7 linked regions of the Neurospora crassa OR74A genome follow. The protein of the gene in region 5 purifies or fractionates together with the protein of the main gene of each other region. This does not show direct contact. Links are inferred from orthologs where the notes say so. Each region holds a gene or a part of one and is shown on either strand. Other genes may lie near its edges. The genes, in order: NCU05235, NCU01203, NCU03669, NCU00794, NCU03066, NCU09528 and NCU00105.

Evidence for each region.
Region 1: the proteins of NCU03066 (region 5) and NCU05235 purify together in Saccharomyces cerevisiae (affinity purification with mass spectrometry; 4 studies listed by BioGRID). This does not show direct contact. The link is inferred for Neurospora crassa OR74A from reciprocal best matches to the Saccharomyces cerevisiae genes NUG1 and RLP24.
Region 2: the proteins of NCU03066 (region 5) and NCU01203 purify together in Saccharomyces cerevisiae (affinity purification with mass spectrometry; 4 studies listed by BioGRID). This does not show direct contact. The link is inferred for Neurospora crassa OR74A from reciprocal best matches to the Saccharomyces cerevisiae genes NUG1 and RRP17.
Region 3: the proteins of NCU03066 (region 5) and NCU03669 purify together in Saccharomyces cerevisiae (affinity purification with mass spectrometry; 6 studies listed by BioGRID, with this or other methods). This does not show direct contact. The link is inferred for Neurospora crassa OR74A from reciprocal best matches to the Saccharomyces cerevisiae genes NUG1 and SPB1.
Region 4: the proteins of NCU03066 (region 5) and NCU00794 purify together in Saccharomyces cerevisiae (affinity purification with mass spectrometry; 8 studies listed by BioGRID, with this or other methods). This does not show direct contact. The link is inferred for Neurospora crassa OR74A from reciprocal best matches to the Saccharomyces cerevisiae genes NUG1 and RSA4.
Region 6: the proteins of NCU03066 (region 5) and NCU09528 purify together in Saccharomyces cerevisiae (affinity purification with mass spectrometry; 3 studies listed by BioGRID). This does not show direct contact. The link is inferred for Neurospora crassa OR74A from reciprocal best matches to the Saccharomyces cerevisiae genes NUG1 and NOP16.
Region 7: the proteins of NCU03066 (region 5) and NCU00105 purify together in Saccharomyces cerevisiae (affinity purification with mass spectrometry; 3 studies listed by BioGRID). This does not show direct contact. The link is inferred for Neurospora crassa OR74A from reciprocal best matches to the Saccharomyces cerevisiae genes NUG1 and NIP7.

What each region holds. Positions count from the first base shown.
Region 1 is NC_026504.1:5,664,074-5,667,573, reverse strand, and holds NCU05235 (ribosome biogenesis protein RLP24), read right to left. Parts: upstream 2,120-3,500; 5' UTR 1,970-2,119; coding exon 1,894-1,969; intron 1,810-1,893; coding exon 1,205-1,809; 3' UTR 501-1,204; downstream 1-500. UniProt on the Saccharomyces cerevisiae protein: Involved in the biogenesis of the 60S ribosomal subunit. Ensures the docking of NOG1 to pre-60S ribosomal particles. Activates and recruits ATPase AFG2 to cytoplasmic pre-60S ribosomal particles.
Region 2 is NC_026505.1:3,224,221-3,226,960, reverse strand, and holds NCU01203 (hypothetical protein), read right to left. Parts: upstream 1,589-2,740; 5' UTR 1,469-1,588; coding exon 1,238-1,468; intron 1,167-1,237; coding exon 702-1,166; 3' UTR 501-701; downstream 1-500. Other genes in the region: tpm (tropomyosin), read left to right, coding at 1-106, 233-395; NCU01202 (hypothetical protein), read left to right, coding at 1,919-2,010, 2,162-2,535, 2,600-2,740. UniProt on the Saccharomyces cerevisiae protein: Essential protein involved in ribosomal RNA processing.
Region 3 is NC_026505.1:2,021,227-2,025,484, reverse strand, and holds the start of NCU03669 (AdoMet-dependent rRNA methyltransferase spb1), read right to left. Parts: upstream 2,801-4,258; 5' UTR 2,658-2,800; coding exon 2,490-2,657; intron 2,423-2,489; coding exon 646-2,422; intron 579-645; coding exon 108-578; intron 29-107; coding exon 1-28. Other genes in the region: NCU03668 (WD domain-containing protein), read left to right, coding at 3,851-4,258. UniProt on the Saccharomyces cerevisiae protein: Required for proper assembly of pre-ribosomal particles during the biogenesis of the 60S ribosomal subunit. Specifically methylates the guanosine in position 2922 of the 25S rRNA at the stage of 27S pre-rRNA maturation.
Region 4 is NC_026501.1:7,141,925-7,146,020, reverse strand, and holds NCU00794 (ribosome biogenesis protein Rsa4), read right to left. Parts: upstream 2,801-4,096; 5' UTR 2,650-2,800; coding exon 2,300-2,649; intron 2,240-2,299; coding exon 1,246-2,239; intron 1,181-1,245; coding exon 1,055-1,180; intron 990-1,054; coding exon 906-989; 3' UTR 203-905; downstream 1-202. Other genes in the region: NCU00795 (membrane bound cation transporter), read right to left, coding at 3,678-4,096. UniProt on the Saccharomyces cerevisiae protein: Involved in ribosome biogenesis. Required for processing and efficient intra-nuclear transport of pre-60S ribosomal subunits.
Region 5 is NC_026501.1:4,414,055-4,418,162, forward strand, and holds NCU03066 (GTP-binding protein), read right to left. Parts: upstream 2,671-4,108; 5' UTR 2,566-2,670; coding exon 2,538-2,565; intron 2,467-2,537; coding exon 842-2,466; 3' UTR 501-841; downstream 1-500. Other genes in the region: NCU03065 (mitotic control protein dis3), read left to right, coding at 1-325; NCU03067 (hypothetical protein), read right to left, coding at 3,689-4,108. UniProt on the Saccharomyces cerevisiae protein: GTPase required for 60S ribosomal subunit export to the cytoplasm.
Region 6 is NC_026505.1:4,474,525-4,477,866, forward strand, and holds NCU09528 (nucleolar protein 16), read right to left. Parts: upstream 2,196-3,342; 5' UTR 2,027-2,195; coding exon 1,911-2,026; intron 1,830-1,910; coding exon 1,247-1,829; 3' UTR 501-1,246; downstream 1-500. Other genes in the region: NCU09527 (hypothetical protein), read left to right, coding at 1-152. UniProt on the Saccharomyces cerevisiae protein: Involved in the biogenesis of the 60S ribosomal subunit.
Region 7 is NC_026503.1:2,638,808-2,641,953, reverse strand, and holds NCU00105 (ribosome biogenesis protein NIP7), read right to left. Parts: upstream 1,920-3,146; 5' UTR 1,819-1,919; coding exon 1,774-1,818; intron 1,696-1,773; coding exon 1,609-1,695; intron 1,429-1,608; coding exon 1,302-1,428; intron 1,210-1,301; coding exon 1,129-1,209; intron 1,060-1,128; coding exon 848-1,059; 3' UTR 501-847; downstream 1-500. Other genes in the region: pro-4 (glutamate 5-kinase), read left to right, coding at 1-423. UniProt on the Saccharomyces cerevisiae protein: Required for proper 27S pre-rRNA processing and 60S ribosome subunit assembly.

The sequences.
Region 1 (3,500 bases), on a different chromosome or scaffold from region 5:
ACAGCAATGGGGATGATGATCATGTTGACGATGTTAACGAGGTTAACGATATAATGGGGTAAATATATGATGAGAGAATGAGATGGAACTTGATGATGATGATGATGGGGGGTGGGGGGAGGGAAATAGAGGTGGGTGGGCTAGACAACCTGACAAATGGGGAAGCAAACTATAATGAGAAACTTGGCTGTGCTTTGTGCTTACGGTTTGGCTGGCTGGCTAAAGCAAGGCGATCGGAGCATTAGCATGCGAAGGAAGGGGTTGGTTTGGTTTTGTCGGGTCTTAACGCTTATAATAATACAAATGATAAAAGATATAATACTTTGTATTTAGTTACCGACTTGAACCAACTGTGTCTTTTAGGTGTTGTTTAGAGTTGTTGTGTTGTCGACTGAGTGCAAGATGGAATCAACGAACGGGTAGTAGTCCAAGATTGACCTTGGATATATCCTTGGCTAGGATACCTAGTCAGGTCTCGAGCTACAGAGGTCAGTCACGTTGGCAGAAGACAGAAACGAGTAACTTGTCGAGTCAGAAAGTACTGAGGATTACTACTATAAAACAAGACAAGACATGGCAGAAAGAAAAAAACAAACAAGTACTTCATATTGTGGGTCTCCCCGTGTCTATTAAACGCCAAATTCGCCGATTCCAATAAAACCGAAAATATGCTTTGCTACTAAAGGTAGACTGATTGATCCCCCCCTTGAAAACCATGGTTCTGAATATAATGAATCTTTCCAATGACCTGTAGCGACCAACGACCAACCAACCAAGCAAGGGGTATAAGCAAGCCCCGAAAGCAGCCATCGCTCGGGGGGGAGGATTGTCTGTCTGTCCAAAGCCACAGTTACTGTTTTTACAGTTAGAGTATTGGCTGTTGGTCAACCAATTGCTGTCTGTCCTGTCCTCTTTCTGGTCGTTCCGTCTTTATACACCAAGACCCGTTCGTCGTAGTTGGGCTTTGTTGCTGGTGTCAACTAGGCAGGTCTCAGTGGCGAGGAAAGGCCGCCGAAAAAATACAGCAGAACCCTCCCCCGCATAGGGATATCGACAGCCGCGGGAGCGAGTTCGTCCGAAGAAAACAAGCAAACAACGAATGATCCCGAGAAAAGAGGTGGCTGGTTTCGGTGTTGGTGATGGTGGTGGTGGTGGTTGGCGGTGGTGGTGGTCGCGGTAGTAATAGTTACAGAGACTCGGGCGCTCAGTCGGTATCCATCTCGTCGTCATCGTCCACGTCCTCGAAATCGTTCTCGTCATCGTCATCCTCATCGACCAAGCCTCCACCAGCGACGCGCTCCGAGATCTCTTCCACGCCGCCGTCTGTCCTGACACGGAGCCTCTTGACCTCGCCGCCAAACGCCTTGGTCTTCTTGCTGGCAGCCTTCTTGGCCAGCTCCTCGCGCTCGAGCTCCTCGACGTCCTGGCCCGTCTCCTGGGCGAGCTCGGCCAGCCTCCTCTTCTCGGAACCGCGCAGGCGGGGGAGGAGGTGCTCGTTCTCGGCGACGAGCTTGCGGGCGGCGGCGACCTCGCGGGCGCGCTTGCCGGCCATGCGGCGCTTGTAGAAGATGCGCTCGCGGCGCTGGCGGATCTCCGAGATACGCTCCATGGCCTTGACCGTCTTGGCGAAGAGCTCGCGGTCGTAGCGGACGGGCACGTTGCGGCGGGCGGCGAACTGCAGGGTGCTGTCGACCACCATCTCCTTGCCGGCGTTCTTGCGGTAGGCCTTGGTCCACTTGAGCTTGCGGGGGTTGCGCTTCATCTTGAAGTTCTTGTGGCATTTGGAGCGGCAGAAGCGGAAGGACTTGCCTGTAACATTAGTTGTACCCTGGTTAGCAATTGGCCTTGACGGAGAGGTTGATGATGGGGAACTGAAGTATGACAAAAACATACCATCGTTACGCATAAAGGTAATGCCCTTGGAGGGCCAGGCCGGACGGCCGCAAAAGAAACAGGGATCGACACGCATCTTGACGGGTTATGTGGGTGGTTGTGGTGGTGGTGGTGGTGGTGGTGGTTGAGGAGAGAAGCAGCGAGCCGGGTGAGGATGGGCTCGTTGTCTGTTCGGGAGGGGGGGGAGGAGAGGGGGAAGCAAGCAACAAAGTCAACAACAGCGAAACGGTCAAGGGCGCCGCTTCTGAAAATTTCTGGATGTCGGTGTTGGAAAAGTAAAGTGGGGCGGAGGGGACGCTTGGCTTATCTTAGCGCTATCGTGCTATCAGCCGACAAGACTCGGGTTAGGGTTGAGCGTGCATATACGCCAGCCCAGACGGTTCTTTTCTCTTGATTTGACAATGATGGTTCCCGATGATCGATTCCTCGATGTAAGTTGGCCGGCAATTGCGGCTGCTTACTTTCGATGCTCTCTCGACAAGCGATGGCCATGATGCTCAAGTCGACGGGCATGTTTACTTTTCCCAAATCAGTATATTCCCCGATCCATCCAACAATACTTCTTGAGCTCACGATCTTTTCGCTTCGCGACAATGTTCAGTCACCAAGATGGCATTGGTTTCTGTTAACAGGACTCTCGCGGACCCTAACATTGCTAGCTCCACTCTCTTTCTTTCCCATCAGTTACTGCTAACGATTAAAGTCTGACACCCTCTACAATGTTCAACACCGGGTATCATCGGTGTTCGTGACTGCAATTTTTACCATGTCTGAAGAATCTATTCGAGTTACAACTGAAGGCGTCAAGTTCTTCTCGGAGACTGTGGCGAAATCGGATCTTGAATTGTCTGTCATTTCTCACAATGATCAAGACCTTCTGTGATGGAAACTCCGTCGGCAGTAGGCCAGTGTCTGTTGAAGGTGACTACTTAGGCTTTACACAAAAAGAGGTCTTCCTTGACACTTGGTTGATATAACGCATCTCCGTCTCTCAGATTGAACTTGAAGTGCAATGGACTTTCCTCACTCCTTCCCCAATCACAGTGCTCCTTTCATCTCACTCACAGCGGAGTTGAGGGTCGGGTGCTGACCGAGAGCCCCATCAGATCCACAGCGCTAACTCAAAGATGCGGGGACGGAATCCGGGGAAAGCGTCAAAAGTGGAGTCGGGTTCCCCTGAGGCTCCACCAGACTAGCTCCTGCCCTGCGACAGTAAGGGTCCCGAGATCGTTCTTTCCTGATACAAACCGTACACTAAGTATAGGAAAGTCAAGATGTCGCTATCTCTTTCCAGTTTCTTGTCGGTAATTATCCCATGCGGTTCACCGTAATCTTCCTTCTCAAACTTGGTATCTACTGAAATGTACAAAGGATCAAAATTACAAACCCAACACCTACTGCTTCCTCCCCCAGCCACAGCACACGCGCACCGGACCACTCCTCGCTCCGTGGTGCCATTAGACATCACAGAATCAGACGACGGAACTCACAGACGGGCCGCTGTGATACAAAAGTGACGTCCAGCCACTCGAGATGATTGGATTTTGGATATTGCCTGCCACTCCTACCCCGCTCAATCCTGGGTTACACCATGCCTCAGCCAGACG
Region 2 (2,740 bases), on a different chromosome or scaffold from region 5:
ATGGCGCGCAACAAGGCACTCAGAACGAGACGCTGACACGGAGACTTCAACTTCTTGAAGAGGAGGCCGAGGAGGCTGACAAGACTCTCCGCGAGACCAACGAGAAGTACGTTTGCATCGAAATACACGCACCCCTGGACGATGAGATGGGGGAGGGTCCTAACCCCTGTGCCCTTGAACCCCTTTTCTTTGCGACACCTTAGACTAACATGATGTTTTCCTCCTTCAACAGGCTTCGCCAGACCGACGTCAAGGCCGGCCACTTCGAGCGCAAGGTTCAGGCCCTCGAGAACGAGCGCGACCAGTGGGAGTCCAAGTACGAAGAGATGGCCAAGAAGTACGCCGAGGTACAGAAGAGCTTGGAAGAGTTCCAGGCTGATATTGCCAACATCTAAGTTGGTTAACGGATGCAGTCGGAACATGGTGGAAATTCCTTTCTTTACGTTTGTTCACAGCGTCACCGCATCGATAATATCAGCCTGACCCTTTATGCCGTTTGTCCTCGGGTTGTCGAGTAGGGAGATAAGACGGACAAAGCAAGCCGTTATCTAACTCCCGCGTACAACTCATATTGCCTACTAGTTCAAAGCATAATCCATCATCCCAGCATTGCACATACAGTACTTAAACAAGATCTAGATATCGTAAGGGATACCGCTGTCAGGAATAGCGGTAGATTATTTCCTTCGCCATCTAACCTATCACGACCGCTTCGCTTTCTTTGCCCTCTGTTTCCTCTCTGTGACGTTTCGGTCATGTCGGCTTTCGTATGTGAATTTTCTCTTCTTCTTTTTCTCTGGGAAGTTTCGTTTTGATTTCTTGTCGGCTTCCTGCTGCGCCGCCTCTTCAGCCGCCTTCTTCTTCTTGTTGTTCTTCTCCGTCTCGGAATCTTCTTCGTCCTTCAAGGTCCGTGGTTTGTGGATGCCGTCCCTGTCTACGCTGACGGCTTCTACTGTCACGGTCGTATAGCGGTCTTCATCGATGTACTCCTCCTCGACATCAAGCGCAGGCTCTTCCGCCACATCGTCTTCGGATAGCCCATCCCATTCGTCGTCTGACTTGTTCTCGGTGGGTTTGTCGTCGGTACCGGCACGCTCTGCCTCGTGGAGAAGCTTGTGCACTGTTTGGATATGTTCCTCGAGGTTCTTCTGCCGCTCCTCTCTGATCTGTACCCGACGTAGATTAGACTTACTGCCATGGAACCAACCAAGAAAGACAGCGGTCATCCGGTACGTACCTGCTTTCTCAACCTAATTCGTTCCAGCCGTGCCTCTTCCTCTGCTTGCGCCTTCGCAGCCTTGATTCGGGCCTGTTTACGCTTGTGGAAACCGGTAAGATATTCGGTGCGGGCGTCCTTGTCGAATGTGATTTCCTCGACCTTGTGCACTATCTTGCGTTTCTTGGGTGGCGGCGCGAGCCCACTCTTTTTGGGCCTTGGGGCAACAAAGAACGCTGGATCCCTCTCCATAATGGCTTCGAGGGTTGACTTTGAGTGGAAAGTTCGTTTGGTGGTTTTGTGGAGAAAAGGGAACAAGAAATCGAGGTAGAGGTAAGGGCGGGAAGGATGTTTGGATGCAGCGATCTGGATGCTCTGGGTTCAACTGTAAATTTACTGATAGCCACCCCCCTGTTCAAATGTTCACTCGAACGGGGCACCATGCAGGAAGCGGCCTTATCGTATTCTGCCCTATTCTACCGCCTATCTCTGATGTCCATAGCCTGCCGGTCACACCCAGCACCCAATCCCATGCATCAGACGTCTGGCGCTCTCTCAGTGCAGTGACATCCACGCTCCCGGGCTCTGGATCCTGGAGCTACACCACGCTGCCAGTTTGTACACTACACCATATTCGCATATCCAACACAACAACCGACGACGACGACAATATCGCAGACAGTTTGGCATAATCTGTAAATCATGAAACTCTCGATAGTAACAACTCTGCTCGCCTCTACGGCAGTGCATGCCTTCTCGGACTCTTCACCATTTGTCCTCTTTTCCACCTCCAGGTACGTCATGTCCCAATTGTCGCCGTGGGTGGTGTCCCTTCAAGTTGCCCTCGCGCCATCACGATCTTGTGCACCACATCCCACTCAGTTGCGCTTTCATGCATGTGACTTCGACTGAAGATGCTGACCCTTGCGAAACCGTGATTTCCAGGCTCAATACACCCGAAAGATACGATCAGCTCCAAACCAGCAATCAAGTGATTGCTTCCGCCAAGGAGATCCTTTCCTCTTGTCCTACGAAAGACTACGTTATCGTCTCCCAGCCGAACGTGCACGCCGCCGACATCCGCGATGGCTCGCACTGTAAAATGCGCAGTCTATGCGACACAATCGCAAGCAAGGAAATCAAGGGCCGTTTCAGCGTTGCGGAGGTAGTCGGCGACCTCTCAACCCATTCGTTGGAGGATTATGTGAAGGAAGCCTGCGCTGCCAAGGGGAAGGTTGCCGGTATCGTCAAAGTTGACCTCACGCATCTACCTTCCTTGGAGCACAAGGATAATAGGGCGCAAATCCTGGCTTCTAATGGTATGTCTAGTTCGGATCACGGGTCGGCTATTGAATTGCCCCGTACTAACCTGTGCAACTATAGACGATCAGTTGGGCCTGGTGCTCGATACCCTTGAGGGCGACTATACCCTTGTCATGGTATCAGACCCTAACGAGTTCAAGGCTTACCAGCCTGACTTTATCGAACCAGTCCATATGGATCTCAAGCGCGGACAGTTTAGCT
Region 3 (4,258 bases), on a different chromosome or scaffold from region 5:
GGATCCACCATCTTGTACCTGCCCTTGACTATAAAATTGAAAAAACCGAGTTAGCATCATTCCAACATAAAGAACACACCAGATCTTAAGGTAGTGATAGTACGAACCTCCTTTAGGTCTGCCCTGGAGACCCTTGTTGGAACCAGCAGCCTTGACAACCTTGATAGGCGCCCTCCTCGTCTTCTTAGCAACCGACGCCATGAGCTTCGAAATGCTAGCAGCCTTTTCCTTTTCTGACATGCCATCGTCACCGGCAAGCATATCGGCCTTCTTCTTGAGCTTCTCCAGCCTCTGGGCCTGCTTGAACTTCTTCCTGGCCTTGGCCTCGGCCACCTTCTTGATAGGACGGGCGTTGTAGGCCCGGAGCTTCTCCTTAATGGCCTGCGCTGCGGCCTTGGTGATGGGCTTGTGCGGCTTGTCGTGCTTGGACTCGTCGTCAAGGAACCAGTCGGGAAGACCGTCGCGGTCCTTGAAGGCGTGCTTGGTGTAACCGTCGTCGATGACGTCGTAACTTGTCTTCTCGCCGGTCGCGAGCTGGTGGGCGAGGGTCATGGCCTCGGCGGTGATGATGTCGATGTCTGTAGTTGTCATAGTCAGCCATTGCCCTTAACAGGTCATACTGAAGAGGGACTGAGTGAAACTTACCAGGCCTGCCGTTCTTCTTCTTCTTCTCAACGTTCTCCCAGTCGTCATCCTCGTTGTTCTTGACAACCTCGAAATCGTCGTCGTCATCGCTCTCCTCGGCCGCCTTCTTGCTCTTGGCCTTGGTTTCCTTGGCTTCCTTCTTCTCCTTCTTGGTAACCTTGAGGTCCTCCACAGCCTCAACAAGCTCAGCCTCCTGAGCCTCCTCCTCCTCAGATTCTGGCTCCTCCAAAAGTCCTGGTATCTCCGCAAAGATACCTTGACTGAAGAAGTTCTTGGCCCGCTTGGACAGACCATCCTTCTCTTCTGGCTGGCCGTCTAGATCTGTTATAAGTTTCTTGCCAGATTCACCATCCTCTGAGTCGGAATCATCATCACTGCTGTCCACTTCTAGTTCCTCATCGTCATCGTCGTCGCTACCCTTCTCCTCATCGCCAGATACGCCTTCCCATTCATCGTCGCCGTTCTCTTTCCTGGCCTTCTTGGCACGGTACTTGGCATCGGCCGCCGCCTTCCGCTCCCGGTACTGATCGTACAGGTTGTCGAGCTCTTCCTCCAGACGATCGGCCTCCTCGTCGCTCTCGTCGGTTTCGCCGTCGGAGCCAAAGTCGTAATCCTTCGGTTTCTCGGTCTCTTTGATAACGGCCATCTTGCCCTTGGCGATCTTATTCAGGGCAGCGTTCTGGTCGATAGTCTTGAGACGGAACATGGCACCCTCACCACGGGGACCTTCCTGCTCCACACCAATATCCATGGGCGCAGTCATGTTCATCTGCATGCGGACAATCTCCTTTTGCTTCTTCTCATTCTCGCGCCTCCTCTCGCGCTTCTTCTTGGAGGTCTCCTTCTCCTTGATCCTTTGCAGCTCCTCCTGGATCCTAAGCTCCTCATCCATGTTCTCCACTACCGCAACCTCCTCGTCCACAGCTGCCTTCTGGGTCTTCTTGGAGGGGAAGCCGAAGATCTCCCGTACTTTTAGACGCCATTTTAAGAGAAGCTTGAACTCTTTCCTGCCGAGCACTTTGAGATCGGCGCAGCAGAGACGGATTTCTTCGGTCGTTTCGGGGAGCTTGTCGAGGGCAGCCAATGCTACATCGCCGTTCTTGGGTTGCTCAAAGCTGAGTTTGTTGTACTGGCCGAGAATGGCGATGGGATCGACAGTGTTGATGAACTCGCTGGCAGAGATCTCCTTGAACTGGGTGTAGTCTCCCTCCTCATAACCCTCTCTCTTTCTCTTCTTGACTTCGGGGTTGTACACCTTGGCTTCGTTGTTGGGGGCGGGGCCGGCCACATCCTCGAAAACGGAGCGGGGGTCGAGAAGCTTGGGGTCAATGCGCTTGGGGGCCTTGAAGCCGCGGCAGACGACGAAGATTTCGGCGGAGACGTTACGGGACGAAGGGGGCTTCGTAGCCTCGACCTTGGCGAAAAGCTGGTTGCAAACCCAGAGAAGGGAGTTGTAGTCCTTGGATCTGAACACCTTGGTGACGAACGTACCGCCCTCAATAAGGAACTCGGTGGCCAGCTTTAGCGAGTGCAGGGCAAGTTCGGCCTGGTTGTACGAATCCTGGACCCAAGCAGTACCGACGTTGGGCGCACCATCGTGAAGAACGACGTCGGCCTTCCATGTCTTGAGATGGGAGCGGATGGTTGCGCGACACTTTTCGGTGGTGATATCGCTCTGGAAGGTAATGACCTTGGGGATGGGCTTGATGGGAGCAAGATCGACACCGATGATGATGGAGTTTGTCGGCATAGTCTCGGCGCAGACTTGACACCACGACTAGGGACGGACACAGACATGGTTAGTTCACTCCATGATAAACTGGATGTTCACGACTATGACTTACACCGGGCGCAGCGCAAAGATCGAGAGCGACCTTGCTTTTCTCGAGGAATCCATACTTCTTGTTGAGCTGGATCAGCTTGAAGGCGGCACGGGCACGATAACCCTTCTCCTTGGCAAGCTTGTACCACTTGTCAAGACGGCCCTTGCCGTGTTTCTTTTGGATCGCCATGGTGCCGGTGCTCTAAGTCGGGGGGTGTTTCCGACTGGTGTTGTTGAGCAGGACGACCTGGTGACTTTTTTGGGTTGGTGAAAATGGCAGTCCGGGTGCCCTTTGACTGTTCTTCCCTCCAGCACTCGCAGCGCAGGGATTGCAGGGTCGTCGTTGCAGAATGATTTTTTTGGATGACAGCTGCAGGGCGATAAGCGATAAGAGACTGGACTCCGGCGGCTGGTGGGGCAACGAGCAAGACGGGCCCCATCAGGGTGGGCCAGACATCCCGCGGTTGAAGTGCAGTGCATTGACCAATCTTCATGTCTTCAGCAACCGCGATTTATGGGACGAAAAAGCCATTAAGCTTTCGCGATGCAGCGCGTCATTTGTTCCCGCGTCTTCGCGTTCCCCTGATGGAGCACTAAACCGCATTCCTTCTAGGCGCCTCCCCCCCGACCCCCGGCCGCTACGGACCGCACGCCCAGCCTCTGCCCACTGGAGGAGGTGTTCAATGGAGTCCATGGGTGGTCAGGCCAGGTCAGGTCAGGTTTCCATGGCTGTCGATTTGGTTGCCCGGCAAACCTAGGTACTCAAGTGGGAACTCAGCAAAAGCGTAGGTACTTCTAGGAACTGAACCACGCAAGGGAAATCCACAACAGAAACGAACAACCAAATCCAATTCCATCACATCTCCACCTACGCATTCAATTTCAAGTCCATACTACCAAGGACACACTTACACCAGAAACCGACATAGACATACCCCTTCCGGCCGCACCACTTCACTCAGAGGACCCATACTACTACGACCAAATCCGCCAACCAATAAACTCGGCGCCAATACCTTACGCCCCCCCCGGCCGCCTACCTTGTCTCTCAACGACGACCTCGACCTCCCGTCCTTCTTCAAGCTCAGCCTGCTTGCTGCACACAGCCTAGCCTGCAACTTCGACGTCAGCCCTTGTCCAATATCCAGTCGACACTTGCCAGCAATACCTCTGCGCCAGCTGTTGCTCAACTGATTCTGTACAAATATCCATCACCACAGCCTGTTCTCTGTCTCCGCGTACCCTTGCCATCGGCGGCCCCTCGCTGCCAGGTCGCGCGCATCCAGCGTCGCCGGCCCCGTGTACATCGTCTCTAGGTATCGTGTTGCATAAGCGGCCTGGACCCAGCTCTTCGCTCTGGTAGTCGAAGAGAATCCTTTCGCCATGGCCGATAACTCCAACAGCACTTCAACCCCTTTGGGAGTTAAGAGCTCGTCGTCGTTGAACACCAGCAACAACATTCCCCCCATTCCGTCCTCTCCTCCTCCGCGAAGCGCAGCCAAGGAACGTCGAAACCCGTCCATCACCCCCCGGAAATTCAGGCGCTTCTTTACTCCCCGAGTCATAGCGAATAACCACCCCAGCGCTTCCCAAAGAGCTCTTCGTGATCTAGCCGGTCCTCTCATAGAACGATCTCATACTCCATCCAGTCCTCTCAGGCCCATCTCGGAAGAGGAAATCCCAGATGTGTTACCGAGCCTTCAGGATGGCCAGAGAAGCTCCAAGCGTCGAAAGATCACTCATGCTTCAACACCCAAGAGGGCTGAGGCATCGCACGTATCCCACCTACCC
Region 4 (4,096 bases), about 2.7 Mb from region 5:
CATAGGACCAGTGGCAGCTCCCGTCCGGGCCTTCGAAGGATGCTTCAGAAAAAAGAAAAAAAAAGGCTTGCAGTGTGCGTGGTTCTTGCTACCTCTGGTCTGTTGCTTCGGGAAAGTGAATCATATGCCGTCTTCGAAAGTTACATATTCGTAACTCTGAACATCAACGGCTGGTTCACTAGCTCCAAACGTCATGATTAAACAACGTCTCTCTAGGTTGCCATGAATGCATATCACTATCCTTGTCTATATCGTGGCACCTATGTAACGCCCTGCATGATGCGCGCAATGAGAACCATTCCATCAAATGCTCGCATCTATCAAACCTCAAATGGATACCCCCGGACATCGCTTAACATGACCACGTCTCTGTCTATCTATGGTGCTTTCCATTTTCCAAATCTTTCGAGCGTCTTGTTGGTCTTGGTGTGTGGTCGCGCGGTTTGGTAACATTGAACTGGCGGCGGGAGATTTTACCGATTTGCCAGGCCCATTCCATCGCCTCTTTCGCTCTTGCCCAGCGATTCGGAAAGTTTGGCAGAGGCGCAGTCGGTAAGCACTTAACAGCCACACAACATCACCACCCTGCGAGTCGAGGTGATGTGTGCAGCCGTGTTGCGTATTGACTCAGCAAGGCCTCTTTGGTGAGCCGATACTAGTAGCTAGGCTGACGTCAAGGAAACTTGGCTCGCGAAGATTGCCGTGAAAGTTGTTTCTGGCAGATACCTGGGCATGTAGTATCCCAAGCCGGCTCGTTCGTGCGAACGGCAAACTGCTGCAAACACCACGGAAGCAGGCCAGAAGTCATATCACCCCGCTGAGGCCTCCGCGAGTGAAGTAGAGCGGGGGCTCTCGGGTTCCGACTGCTGGCTGTAGGAGAGTAAGGTTCGTTCTTGCCCTCTTCTTTAGTTTCTCCATGTCCTCACGGCCTTATCCTTTCCGCCTGATCCTACCATCTTGCCATCCGGCGACCAGTCCACAGCGTATACCTGGAAGCGAGTTAGAATTTTCCAGCAGTGGGAACACCGATGTCGCCGTGATTTGGTTCACATACCTCGTCTTCGTGTCCGGGAAGGTCCATGGCGAGAGTGCCAGTGCGCACATTCCATGCCTTGAGGGTAGTATCTTTGCTAGCCGTAATCAGAAGCCTGCTATCGGCGGACCAGGAGCATTGGTAGACCTGAAGTATCAACGCGTTAGAACTTTCCCCTCGTGGTAAGAGATGAATGTGGGTAAGGAACTCACGGGTGCAACATGACCCCTCAAGCTCTTGAGGAACTTGCCATCCCTGGCATTCCAGAGCTTCACGCTGTTATCCCAACCAACCGAGGCGATCAAAGTGCCATCGGGAGAGAATTGGACCTGGTTCACCTTGTTCTGGTGTCCCAAAAGTCTAGCAACGGGCTTGGTACCGTTGTTGGTGGGGTCCCACAGGTACATGGTAAAGTCGTCACTGGCAGATACGATGCGCTCAGCAACCTTGCCATTGATCTTGGCCGCTCTCTCGAAACGCTCCTTGGCCTTCTCCCTCCTGCCCTCCTCGGTGGAAGGGACGTCCTTGGTGTGGTCAAAGTAGGCGGTCCTCAGGGCGTGGTCGCTGGACAAACCAATATGGTTGATCCAGTGGGCGTGAGATGTCAAGCTGTGTACCAAGGTGCCCTTGACGGCGTCGAATACCCGGACAACCTTATCGTGCGAACCCGTGTAGATGAGGTCGGTTCCACCCCATCGCACGCAGGCGACGGAGCTCCTGTGACCGCTCAGGACGTGCTCGGTACGGCCTGTGTTGACAACCCAAATCCTACAGGTACCATCCTTGCTAGCACTGGCAATCCTAGGGGTGCCGTCTCTCCACAAGTGGTACGGCTGCCACGCCGTCATCAACACCCATTTGGCGTGGCCCTTGAAAGGCTGACCAACGGGCTTGCCGGCCTCGGGATCCCATATCCTCACTGTGCCATCCATGCTGCAGGTCGCTAGTTGCTCTCCATCGGGTCTCCAGCTGACGCCGAGGACCCAGCCGGTGTGCCCTTTCAATGTGTGCTTCGGGGTACCTGTATTTGTATCCCAAATACGAGCTGTGTTGTCGCCGCTGCCGGTAGCAAGGCGTCCGGATGAAATAGGCGAGAACTGGGCTGCGAGGATGGGTTGGCCGTGACCGGGAATGCGATGGGCAAGGCGCGAAACTGCTTGTACCCTGAAAACAGCCTGGGGCTCGGCACTAAGAGTAATTGTGGTTCTATGCGGAGGTTAGCGAAGCAGTTACGTGCTGGGCTTCCTGTGTCCGGGTCTTGCATACTCGAAGGGGTTCTCGACACCATGCTGCTTGAGAAGGCCGAGGAGGTCGGAAGGGTACTGGTCGACAATGATATCCTTGCCGGGAATATGGATGCGGAATCGGTATGGGGTGAACTCTTCGCGGTCCCTCTCGAGCAGGGTGTTGAGCAAGACGGAGATGTTCTTTTCGGTGGCATCGGCAAAGTTGATTTCGATGACATCGGTCATCTGGTTGCCATCGCTGTCGACGAAGTTGGCCTTGAAGGAGCCGAGCTCAGGCGCCAGTATCGGGGCGACATCGAGCTGTGTTGTGGTGCGCTCAATCTCCTCTCTCTTTTGGCGCTTCGACGGGGGTGGTAGTACTGTCGCCATCTTGGATTATGTTGTGCCAGAAGTTGTCGCTGAAAGTGTGTTGCGATACTCGCCCGACTTCCAGGAAGTGTTGATGGATTGGGGGCCTTCTGGGTTTGCACTGGACTTGCTGCCCCTGCAAAGGCTGGACCCAGCAGAATGCGGACAGTCCAAAATTTTGGCGGTGATGGCGTGCAAAACTGGCTTGGCATGTCCAGTTCCAATGGAGCTCTGACCCACACTTGCTTTCCCCATGTCTCCACAGGGGCATCACGAAGCTGGGCCAGGGCTGTTTACGATTTAGCGCTGTTAGTGCGTCTGCATCCAAACCTTCCACTTGAACCATCGGGCATCATCCCATGTCATCATCATCCCATCTCCAAACATTCCAACACTCCGAGTCAACTCCCACTTGTCGTCACCACTGCTTCCCAACAGCTGTTATACTGTATACCCTACGTGATCTCCCATCTATGTATGAACCCAGCATGAGCATCGCCCGGCTGTTCTTGACTCCTCCGGAGGGGATTCATGTTCCGACATGACGCCTTTTTGTTTCTCTATACTACTACACAAGGCACAAAAATTCATTTCTCTCCCTTTGTCTAGGTGACCCAGACCCTCAAATATCGCCCACGTCCAGAGGAATCGCTATACCCTGGATTCCCTTCACCAGGATACTCGTCAACTATCTCTACTTATTGACCAAACTTCTCATTCCCCTCGCTTCTCATTGACCGGCAGTCCCGATATTCCAGGCTGCCCGGGTTTTCGCTTTCCCAATGCCACTTGCAAAGTATTGCGGCTGCTGCTGGTCCCAAGTCGGGTACGGTCACGGCTGGCACTGGCTCTGGTACTAGCTTTGATACTGCATCTGATGCGGCCTCTGCTACGACAATTACTGATATGGCTGTTGGCAAAAGCCTAAACCTCCTTAGTCAAGACAAACTACTCCTTCGGTCTGGGCCTCAACCATAACCGTTCATCTGTCATCCGAACCTAGGTAGCCTACACACTCCGACCTCCCATCCTAAATTCTGTCTTCACCCTTACCCAACAGAGCTAGCCAACCTTGGATTTGGCAAGTAAAACGCTGCCACGGCGATAATGAGGTAGGCAGATGCCAAAAGTGCTCCCTCGAGGTAGTTACTCCTCCCATCTCTAACGAGAAAATTCACAATGAAGGTGCTAACGAACATGCAGACAGTCTCGAAGAGGGTAAAGTAGAGAGACATGTCTCGATCCATGATCCAGCCCAAGATAACCACTACCGGCGTCACAAACAGCGCAATCTGGATACTGCTGCCCAGTGCCACGCCCAGTGCCAAGTCCATCTTGTTCTTGAGTGCCACGCTCACAGATGTGATGTGTTCAGCTGCATTGCCTACAATGGGGATGAGCACTAGACCGATGAAGGCTTCAGAGATGCCTGTAGTTGCATTGGCATCCCGGGCGACGATTGCATCGA
Region 5 (4,108 bases):
CGGCCGTGCCAGCATTGCTTATTATGTCGGCCAGGCCCTGCGCGGCAAGGCTACGGAGGAGGACGGCTTCGTCATGAAGATCTTTAGCAATGGCTTTGTTGTGCTCGTGCCGAAGTTCGGTATCGAGAGCTTGATCCGTCTGCGTGACCTGGCGGAGCCGGAGCCGGCGGCGACGTATGATGCCGAGACGTACACGCTGACCACATCGGGAAGCAGGGAGGTTAAGGTGGAGTTGTTCCAGAAGGTCAGGGTGAGGGTGACGGATCAGAAGGATGAGACGACGGGGAAGAGGGGGGTGAAGATGGAGCTTGTTAGTACTTATTAGATTTGTTGAAGATGGATGCTTCAGTATTTGAGAAGGGGTACAGGTTAAGAATACCCTTGATGGACTTTTGTAGAGCAATACATTGTTTTTTTACTTTCGGCTATCCAAACGTTCATGAAGTCATTTTCGGAATGTCGTTGCTTTCGAATTCGATAATAGGCCATTGAAAACACAGCTCGGTATGATGAACGATGCAGGGAATGTCAGAAAGAATTTAAAGCTTCACTTCAAAAGCCTTTGTCATAGAGGTGTTTATGATCAGGCTATATTTGACCTATTTTCTACCAGCCGGCCTGCCTGTCTCCCTTTTTGCTCTTTCCCACCTTGACGCCAAAACGCCTCTTCACAAAGATGTGTCCAGCTCCGGGGTTCGTTGTATTGTGTTTCTGACATGCAAAACAACAAAATACTCATTACGACATTGACCACCGACGCAACCGAAAACAAAAAAGAAACCAAAAAGTGAAATGCTCAACAACAACTGCCAACAGACAAAGATAGGGGGAATAAATCGCTCTACTGCATCTCAACATCCGGAGTCGCCGTCTCCTCCTCATCTCCCCAAAGACCATCCAGCTTGAACTCCTTGGCCCACTCGGTCACGATCACCTTCTGATCCGCTAGGGGCTCATCAGCGGTAGCAGACTTGCCGCCAGCAGGAGCAGGAGCAGTGGCGGTACCAGCCACAGCCAAGACGGGAGCATCGATCCAGCCCTGGATACGACCGTCGCGCCAGTCGGTCACGACAGTCATGGCAGCGGCTTGGATATTGGGGATACCGCCCCTGCCCAGCCTGCCGCGCTTGCGGGCAACCTGGACAAGGAAGTCCATGGTGGGGTCGCCGTTGTTGGGGTCGCGCAGCAAGGGGGGAAGGTCGTACACCTTCATCATCTTGTCCATCAACTCGGGGGTGGCCGACAGGCGCTTGAGCAGCAGCGTCACGGCGGGGACCGGGTCCTCGATCTGCTTGGGCGGGATGGCATTAAGGAGCACCAGGTGGGCGTGCGCCTCGGTCTGGTTCTTGGGGGTGAAGGTCGAGTTGCCGGCAGTGGAAGGGAACACGATACCGGGCGAGTCGAGCAGCGTCAGCTTGCTGTCGATCTTGACCTGGCGGATCGAGGTGGTGACGCCGGCCTCGGCGCCGGCCGGGCAGGCGTTGTGCTGGCCGCGGCTGTTGCTGAGGCGGGACAGGAGGGCGTTGATGACGGACGACTTGCCGACGTTAGGGTAGCCGATTACGCCAACCTGGATGGAGCGCTTGAGGTTGCGCGAGACGGCGTACGACTTGAGCGCACGGAAGAGAGCCGCGCTGGTGCTTTGGACGGTAATGTCGCGGTGCTGGAAGGTGTGGGCGTTGGGGGCAGGGTTGGAGGCACGCAGCGGCAGCGTGGGGAAGTAGCGGCGCAGGTGGGTGAGCCAGCCGCGGAGGACCGGGGGAGGGATCAGATCGACCTTGTTGAGGATGAGGATCAGGCGCTTACCACCGTGGGCGGCGGCCATGACGGCGCGCTCGACGTCCCTCGAGCGGGTGCCTTCGGGATCACGGGCGTCGAGGACGTAAAGAATGACATCAGCCTGCTCAACAACCTGCTTGAAGACCTTGTCGAAAGCCTTGCGCGAGGAGGCGCCGCCGGGAACCTCAATAACGCCGGACTGTGTGGGTTCGCCATCGGTCTCGTCGTCGGACTCGTCGTCATCGTCCATCTCGTCGCCGCTCTGGAGCTCGCGGTCGTACTGCTCGGCAGCTTTCCTGGCGCTGGCCACCAGGGCAGCGAGGGGGTTCGACTCATCGTCAACGTCGCTACCATCCTCCTCCATAGCATCGTCGTCGTCCATCAGATCGTCATCGAACGCCTCGACATCGCCCTCGGCGCCCGTCTTGGTGTCCTGGCCAGTCTTGGCCGCCTTGGCCATCTCACGACGCTTCTGCTCCTGTTCCTTTCTCCGAATGCGGTCCTCCTCGATCTGGTTCAACAGCTTCTCCTTGTAGGGGAAAAGGTTCGGGATACCCGGGTCCTTCTTGAGCTTGGAGCGCCATTCTGGGTTCTTCTTGGCGAGCTTTCTGTCCTTGCGTTGCTTCGCGGCCGAGGCCTTCTGGATCTTGTGCCTGAGGCGTACGGGTGTACGCTTCGATTTCGGCTCTGTTTTTAAGTAACGTCAGTCAATGTGTTGATTGGAAGAATATGTTGTTCTCAGCGAAAGATTGACTGACTTTTGGGCTTTGTTATCGATCCGGCCATTTTGAAGATATGCTGCTCCTAATGTCAAAAAAGGAGGTACAGGAGGATAATTGAGGATGGGACAGCAAGGTAAAGCAGCAAAATCCGGTCGCTACTATGGGCGGCTGTACTGATTGATGGTCGTCAAAAAATTAGAGTGGAGGAACGGTTTGTGCCACTGCTGACCGCCTAGATAAGCTCTGATAAAGCAGGGATCCGCCGTGTTGAACTCCACCAAGATTCCAGAAGTCCCCGCTTCGAATGTGGAGATGCGCGTGCCTGTAATTTACAGTCGTATTGTATGTTTGATTTGTGTTTAGCCAAACGTGGAATGTAAATTATATTGATACACTTATGGTGTGGTTGCGCTTGTTCTCTATATGTATATGAAGAATTATTGCTACCGACTCTTTACGCAAGTGGTTTGCATTGCCTTTCCAGAAAGAGGACTTTAGGTCGGTCCGTCTCAACAATCAAACACTTGTCTGCCATGACGATCCTCAAATCCATCGAACCGTCCGTCAAGGTGCAGTTCTGGATGCCATCAGTTCTGTCGTCAAGCACTTGTTTATACCACACATGGACGCTGTACGCTTTTTTTGAGTTTTTGGATCATCATGGATTCAACAGAACACCGTGCCCCGCTCGCATAATTGATCGTCGCTTAAGCTGACAATGGCATTGCACTATGCAATGATTATCGGCAGAGCAGACACTCCGGACATTGGGTCATCTTGGCCTACGTAGACAAAGTCCTGAAGCAAAATAGCATGCTAGCATCGAATACGCATCAAGAAAGGGGGTTGTGGTGGGGAGGTAACATATCACCCAGAAACCACGCTTATCACGCTTCACATGAGGGAGTATCTTCAGAAACTCTTCCGTAGGTATCCCCCATTTAGCGTAGAGAAAGACGGAAGAGACCGATTGTTTCCCAAGTTATCGCACCCTTCAATCGCTGTTCTCTTGTAAATGCATCCAGGACTTGCGAGTCAATTGTATCCTTGATCTGATGGGCCCTTTCAACGCGTTCAAGGAGCTAATTTATCGCTAATTACAACAACGACTCATCCTAACGCTGCTGGGACAGTTGCTAGTTGACCGTATCGAGGTTTCCGATCGACCGGCACGCGAAGTGCTCCGCCTAAAACTCCTTTGCTGTTTCATACTGAACCCGAAGCACACGCTTTGCATCATCCATCAGGTCCATGTGCTGATAGATAACACCAAGCTCGCCACTGGCTTCGATGCGCAGCTCACTTGATGCCGACATGGCCATTGCTTGCTCGAGCAGGTCTTTTGCCTGCTCATACTTGCCAAGGCGTCTGTGTGTACCACCGAGTTTGGTAAAAGCCAACTGTTTGTAACGGTCACCGCTCAGAATGGCACCGGAAGCAGCCCCTGATTCGCAAAAAGCAAGCGCACTGTTGAAGTTACGCATCGCCATTTCCAGATTTCCGCTATGCGTATATTGCTGTCCTTCTCCCATCAGTCTCTCAAAGGAGCGGACTACCTCCACCATGTTTGCGAGCGACGAAGGTGGCTGGCTACCCACGTCCCGATA
Region 6 (3,342 bases), on a different chromosome or scaffold from region 5:
TTGACAACGATAACGATTATCAATCCTCCGTCGGCGGCGGCAGCAGGTACGCGCCGCCTAGTGTGCATGATGGGGACTACGAGGATGAGCCATCGGCAAGGTTTCCCACTGCGCCCTACGGCCGAGTAGGAATCGAACGGGGGAATGTGTAAGAATGGGATTAAAAAAAACAGAAGGGTCGAGAATTCAAGTCAAGGGATATGGATGAGCTGGACTGATCGACTTTGGATCTGGAAGCGGATGCAATACCGGGTAGCTATACGCTGCAGCATGCTTAGGTCATGTACAAAGTGTCTTGGCTACCTGCTTTCTTTTTTTTTGTTATTGGGGGCTGGCTGGCACTAGACGAAACATTTTGGGCTTTTTCTTGTGTATGTATGTGTGTAGGCTTTGTTTTATGGGGTGTCGTTGGCGAGGCGTCACAGGTCCTTGTTGGTTTATCATGCATAGAAACGAGAGAGATATCTTCGTGCATCAACAATGAATCACAAAGCTCTCATATCGGCTTCATGGAATGCTTTGTATCTGTGTCATTCTTATTAAACTCTCCCATATTTGTGGAGATCTACGTAGAACATGATTCTAGGTGACAAACAAGATATGATACGATATATGTGGATGGCTCAATGGCCCTAATTCTTTTCATGTACTTTGAGAAACGCCTAAAACGCCCGTGGCCTTAATGAATAGTATGTATGCTGCACAAGAAATCCTGGTTCCCGTCCCATCATCCGTTTTGCTTTTGCTCATTACCGTTGAGCAAGGGAGCGCGAGCCGAAGTAGCTCCGTCACCTGTTTCTTTGCCAGTTCCCCATTCCACGAGAGGGTCGCCCCCTGAAGCGAAGTATGATGAGGCGACAGCGGGGAGAGTCTAACTGGCATTATACCAGTCTGAGAGAGAAAGAGAGACAAAGAGAGAAAGACAAAATCCGTTGCTCTCTTCTTTCGAGACCTGTCGAGCAGAGCCATCTCGGCTGAAGGATCAGCCGTGTTGGGTCGCTCTTTCTCCCTCCCGCCGACTCTCGTAGCCCAGCTTACAGGACGAGACTGGACATGGGTCCGGGCATTTGTCGCCAGGCTCCCTCATCTCTACCCTTATCTTCAGACCACAAACCGAGCTCACCGGTGATCCCAAGAACATCCCCTTGCAAGAAGCAGTCACATTCCAGTGATGATGAAGTTCACATCACACTCGCGCATGCAATTTGCCCCCTTCTTCCCCTCCCTCGTTTCTTCGTCCGCTTCTTTACTGCAACAAGCCAGCCTTCCTCAACCGCTTGGTAATGTCGCCCTTGGTCTGCTGCATCGGGTTTAACTTGATGTCGCGCACCATGGCAGCTACATCGTCGCCGTGCTTAGCCACTAGTCGCTGCAGCCATTCTAGCTCGCGCTCGCTCTGGTAGCGCACCGTCTTCTCCACAGGGCGCGACGCCTCCTCCTCGAGCATCCGGACCACCTCGGGCCGGCTGCTCTGGGCAATCATCTCCTGGCGGTCGTCGCTGATGCCGTGCCATTCGATATCATGGGTTGGGTTCTTGGGCTTGGGTTCCTCGGATTCGGAGTCGGACTCGATCTCGTTGAGCGGGTCGTTGAGCGGGTTGTCCGAGCGCAGGACCTTGACGATCTTGCCCGAGGCGTCACGCTCGACCTTGACCTCGCGGACCTCGAACAGGCCGCGATCGGCCGACTTGACGGCCAAAGGATCATCCTTGGTGATGCCGGCGTAGTTGGCGGCGGCGGACTTCTTGGCCATGCCGCCGGCGGCGGTGCCGAGCTTGGCGACGAGACCGAAGCGGGAGTAGTTTTGTGAGAGGGTCTCCTTCTTGTTCCTGTAGTACATCAATTTTTGCATGTCAGTACTGAATCTCCTCTCGAATATCTGGCAACAAAAAGAAGAGAAAGGTACTTACCAGGCCTTGGCAACGATGCCGCTGCCCTGGGGGTTCAAGACCTTCTTCTTGATGGTATGCGTCTGGACCTTGGCGCGAGACGAGCGCTTCTTGCGCTTCTGAAGTTCTCTGCCCATTGTTGCTGTGGTTTTCGGGAAGTAGGTACTATGTGGTGTTGCTGAAAGGACAGGAGTTCGACTGCCAAAAGATGCTGGGAAGAAGAAGGCGAAATGGGAGTAAACCAGCAAAGAACGATGACGGCGACAACAACAACGAAGGCGGAAGTTGACCAAAATTTCGGGGGAAACCACCCCAGAGAACTCGATTGAACTGGAACTGCAATGGCTCCTGTCCGATAAGAGAATTATAGTGGGGCTGTTGTCCCTTATCGACCTTACAGGTTGTTCGTTACTTGGCAAGCTTGGGTACGTTCCCTCAGTCCAGTCGCCAGCTGGCAAGAGGGCCGTAATAAAGATACAGTCCCTACTGCGTAAGTGTGTACCTAGGTAGTGTAAGTGGTGTATTGTATGTAAGCACGTACATAAATACCGCTTCCTCAGGTTCCGTTTCTAATCCTCTTGTATCTTGCTTGCCTTTATTGCCGTCACCAGTTCGTTCATCAACAATCCTTCTCCCAAGGGTGATGATGGCAACTTACCTAACGACTATTTCCTCGGAATTGGACCCTAACTTTCACGGCCATCATAGCCGCGGCTTCTTGTTCTGCTCGCAACTGGTGAGGCGCCAGCGGCCGCGCCAGTCACCACCTCACCATTGTCACCATGATCATTACCCATTGGAGATATGAACAGACTTGTAATCATTGCTAAATAACTAGCTACGCACTTTGCAAGTTTTCCGGTAGGGCAACTTGATTCCCGTCTCATCCCATCCCCAAAACACCCTCCATGGCCCCCGCCACTATCCATTCGACGCAGGCACGCGGGTCATGCCTGAAATTTCATTTCTTTTTTATTCAAATCCAACCCGCCTTCAAATGTCAGCCTTGTACTTCCAAAGACATTCGGTAGTATGCGACCTAACTGTTGACATGTTCATTTCAAGTGCCTCGGTCATCATCACCCTGCTACATGCCGGCCAATGCCCATCAGAGCCCGGAAGAACACTGCGCAGAATGGGAAGCCGTTCGACATACATAGGTGTACTGTAGTGGCCAGCCAATTGTCTTTCATGGTGTTCTAGACGTTTGCCTATACAAGTACCTAGACAGCGACCGAGGTCTTGCTTTTTCTTCCCCAACTCCTCTCTCTTCAAACGCCCAGCCCATAGTTCGCAGCAGAACTCAACATCTTACCCACCTCCCCCTCCTTCTTCAACCCCATCCAACCTCAATGCAACATGGAGATATTCAGAACTTGATGAGGGGGGCCATGCTTGGGATAGTCACCTTCCTGTTAAGTCTAGGCGTAGACTTCGTTAGCCATGAGGTTTA
Region 7 (3,146 bases), on a different chromosome or scaffold from region 5:
CCCTCGCCCGTCCGCGACCGCTACTTCTGGATCCTGCACGGCCTGCGTCCGCATGGCACTTTGTACATCGACCAGGGCGCGTACAAGGCTCTCCTCGGCAAAGCTGGGCTGCTTCCCGTCGGCGTAGTGGACGTCGAGGGTTTCTTTGCTCAGCAAGAGGCTGTGCGCCTGTGCGTCGTTGACAAGCGCCGGTCTACGCCCGGTCCGGATGGCAAGATGTGGGAGGGTGAAGCGGTCGAGGTGGGCCGGTGCCTGACCAACTACGCGAGCGCCGAGATTGCAAGGATTAAGGGACATCAGAGCGTGGAGATTGGGCAGCTGTTGGGGTATGCGGATAGCGAGTATGTGGCGCAGAGGGAGAGTGTGAGCTTTTACAATACGGTGAGTAGGCCGGCTAGTCCTGTTGGGGGACATCGGGCTTGAAGGTATGGCTTGGTAGAAAAAGTGCGATTATACAAAAACATGGACGGGGTTCGTACCTTGAAATTACGTGTTGAAAACGACGTAAACAGATACAATTTGAGTGTTGCGTAAGTCGGGATCTGGACGAACAATGGCTTCCACAGGTATAAAAACAACGAGGTCGAGAGGATCCCATCACACTTCCTAATAAAGGATGTAGGTATGTCTCGGTCCTGCCCCATTGCTCGACGAGAAAAAAGATCAAATTATATCTGCCCAGATAAAAATGCTGGAGGTATCTGATTCTGACCAAAAGTGTATGTGTGTGTTGTAAACGCCAGGACGCCTTTATGGTACTTCCCTAAAGCAAAAAAAAAGTTCATATGACCTTCTCTTTTCCAAGCCTTCGTTAATTCCTTCCCTCTTTCTTACTCGGACCGACACTTTAACCAGCAAAGAGGGTGTCCTCATCACGGAGGTACTCGCCGCAGTCCGATTGACGGAAGCAAACGATACCCGTGGGATCAAGGCGGCGTGCCTCGGTTGTGCTACGAGCTGTGACACCGAAGCCAAGGGGGATATCAGCCATGCTGTAGACGACGACACCGGAGTGCTCGGGGCAGTCCTCGGACCAACGGCCGACGTGGGCCTTGACGACTGTTTTCAAATGCCCGTTAGTTTTCATGAGGCTAGTAGGACAGAGAACCAGGAGATGGAGAGGTATACCGTTCGAGCCGTAGAGGAAGGGCTGGGCACCGTTGTCCTTGACCCAGATCTTATGACGGGCGTGCTCCGAGAGGATAGGAACTATAAGGTTGGTAATCAGGTTGTTAGCTTTCACATACATTCCAACTGTTTCAGTAACCGCATAAGGATTCGGCATTGGACATGGAACGTACGGGCAGTGATGTGAAGTCTGAACTTTCCCGTCTTGGTCATCTTTCCAAGGCAGGTACCCAGGCTGAGGAGGGCATCGCGGCTGACACTGGTGGCGAGGTTGGCAACGGAGAGACGGACGTAGTAAACCTGTATATCATCATCTTTGTCAGTTTATCTGGCCCTTATTCTGGTTGGTGGTGGTGTGGTGGCTGTCATCGCCGTCGCAACGGCTGTCGTTGTCCTCGGTGGCGCACAGCCAAAAGGGAAGAGACGGTGTATCGAGCAAGGTCGAGAGGAAGCGAGGGAGGCGAGAGAGGCAGGACGTACGCGAGAGTGGTTCAGACGGAAAACGTATCTGTCGCCATCATCGAGAGGAGCGATAAGACTCTTGAGATCGGTGCAGTAGTTTGCAAGCTTTAGGGTGCCAAAGCAATCAGTCAGCTGTTGTTCATCCTTGTTTGAATATGACATTGTTTCGGCACTGAAACTGACCTTCTCGAAGACGGTCTTCTGCTCCGTTTCTGTAAGAGGGCGCATCTTGTCGGTGTGTTGTGAATTGATGGAGTTGGTGATGCAATGCGAGGGAATCTCCAAGCGCTGACAGCCGCAACCGATGGAGGTTCGCCCGCGTTTCTCTGCCAGAACTTTTTTTTATCGACAAGGAAACCCACTCTTCCGATAATGGGGAGACGCCAAGCCATCAATTCTCCGCTTTAGATGCAATGGCTGCAGTGGATACTCGTAGCTAAAATAGCCGAGTCCCACTTTTACCCGCTTCTACGTTTGCCGTGCGCGACCCCAGCGTGCCGCCCTAGCGACACTGTCACAGGCCGGCAACTGAAGTGACAACCTGAAGCGGATAATATGCCACATCCATGAAGTTTATATTTCCAGAGGGAACTCCTGCATCGCGATGTTCATCCAAGTCCTGGTGTGATGGAAGAAACAAACCCCAGTCGAGGCCAATGATCTCCAGCTGTATCCAGCGGGCTACTCTCTTTCAGGATTCGGTCCTCATCTACACGATTGTTTTCCTGCGCGGCGAGCCTGGCTGACTTCTCAATCGTCCTGGTAGCCCAGATTGCTGGCAGGGTTAACCGTGCAAGTTAGCTTTCCAGAGATTGTAATGCATATCGGAGTGATATCGCAGCAAAGAAGCTCGCTGTTCAACTGACAAAAGCGTAACTAGAAGGCCACTTGACGTTGGAAGTGGCAGCTTGTGGTTCTGGTCGTGAATGGGTCGAGCCATGGCCTTGCACCCATCAAAGAGGGATTATAAGTCAACTTCTACTGACACAAAAAGAAGCCAAACTAGTATCAAGCATCGAGTTGATCGATTGCCATTCAGACTCCTCAACCAGTGTCTCCGTTCCTGTCCGAGGTTCTCAAGTGGGGAGGTGTTGATGACTACATAGTGGCAAACGAGACGTGGGAGTATTGTGGTATAGAATACCACCGAATGCACCGAATTCATCCATCTCGAAGGAATATGAAGTGTGACCAACCAAACTGGCTCACGTTGGGCGCGCTGGTTAGAGGAATCTCATGATACCCAACCCACCACGATGCGCAACATTACGTATTCGACTATCTCGTCGTAGAAATCACGGATGCGCAAGGAGCTTCCCTTACGCGGTAATCGCCGAAGACCTTACTGCGCCTTCTTGGCCAGACCTGTAGATGGGAAAAGGTATGTATGGTGAGAGAGAGATGCTGGAGTGTGAGGATACCGACATTGTGGTTCGTCCAACTGGGAGAGAACGTCCCTTGTTGTTCATCTGCGCAAACGAAGACAAAGAACAACGGTGAAGGATTATAGTGGAAGGAGAAGACGGAAGTGAAAAGAAGCATTGCAGTAACGTCCA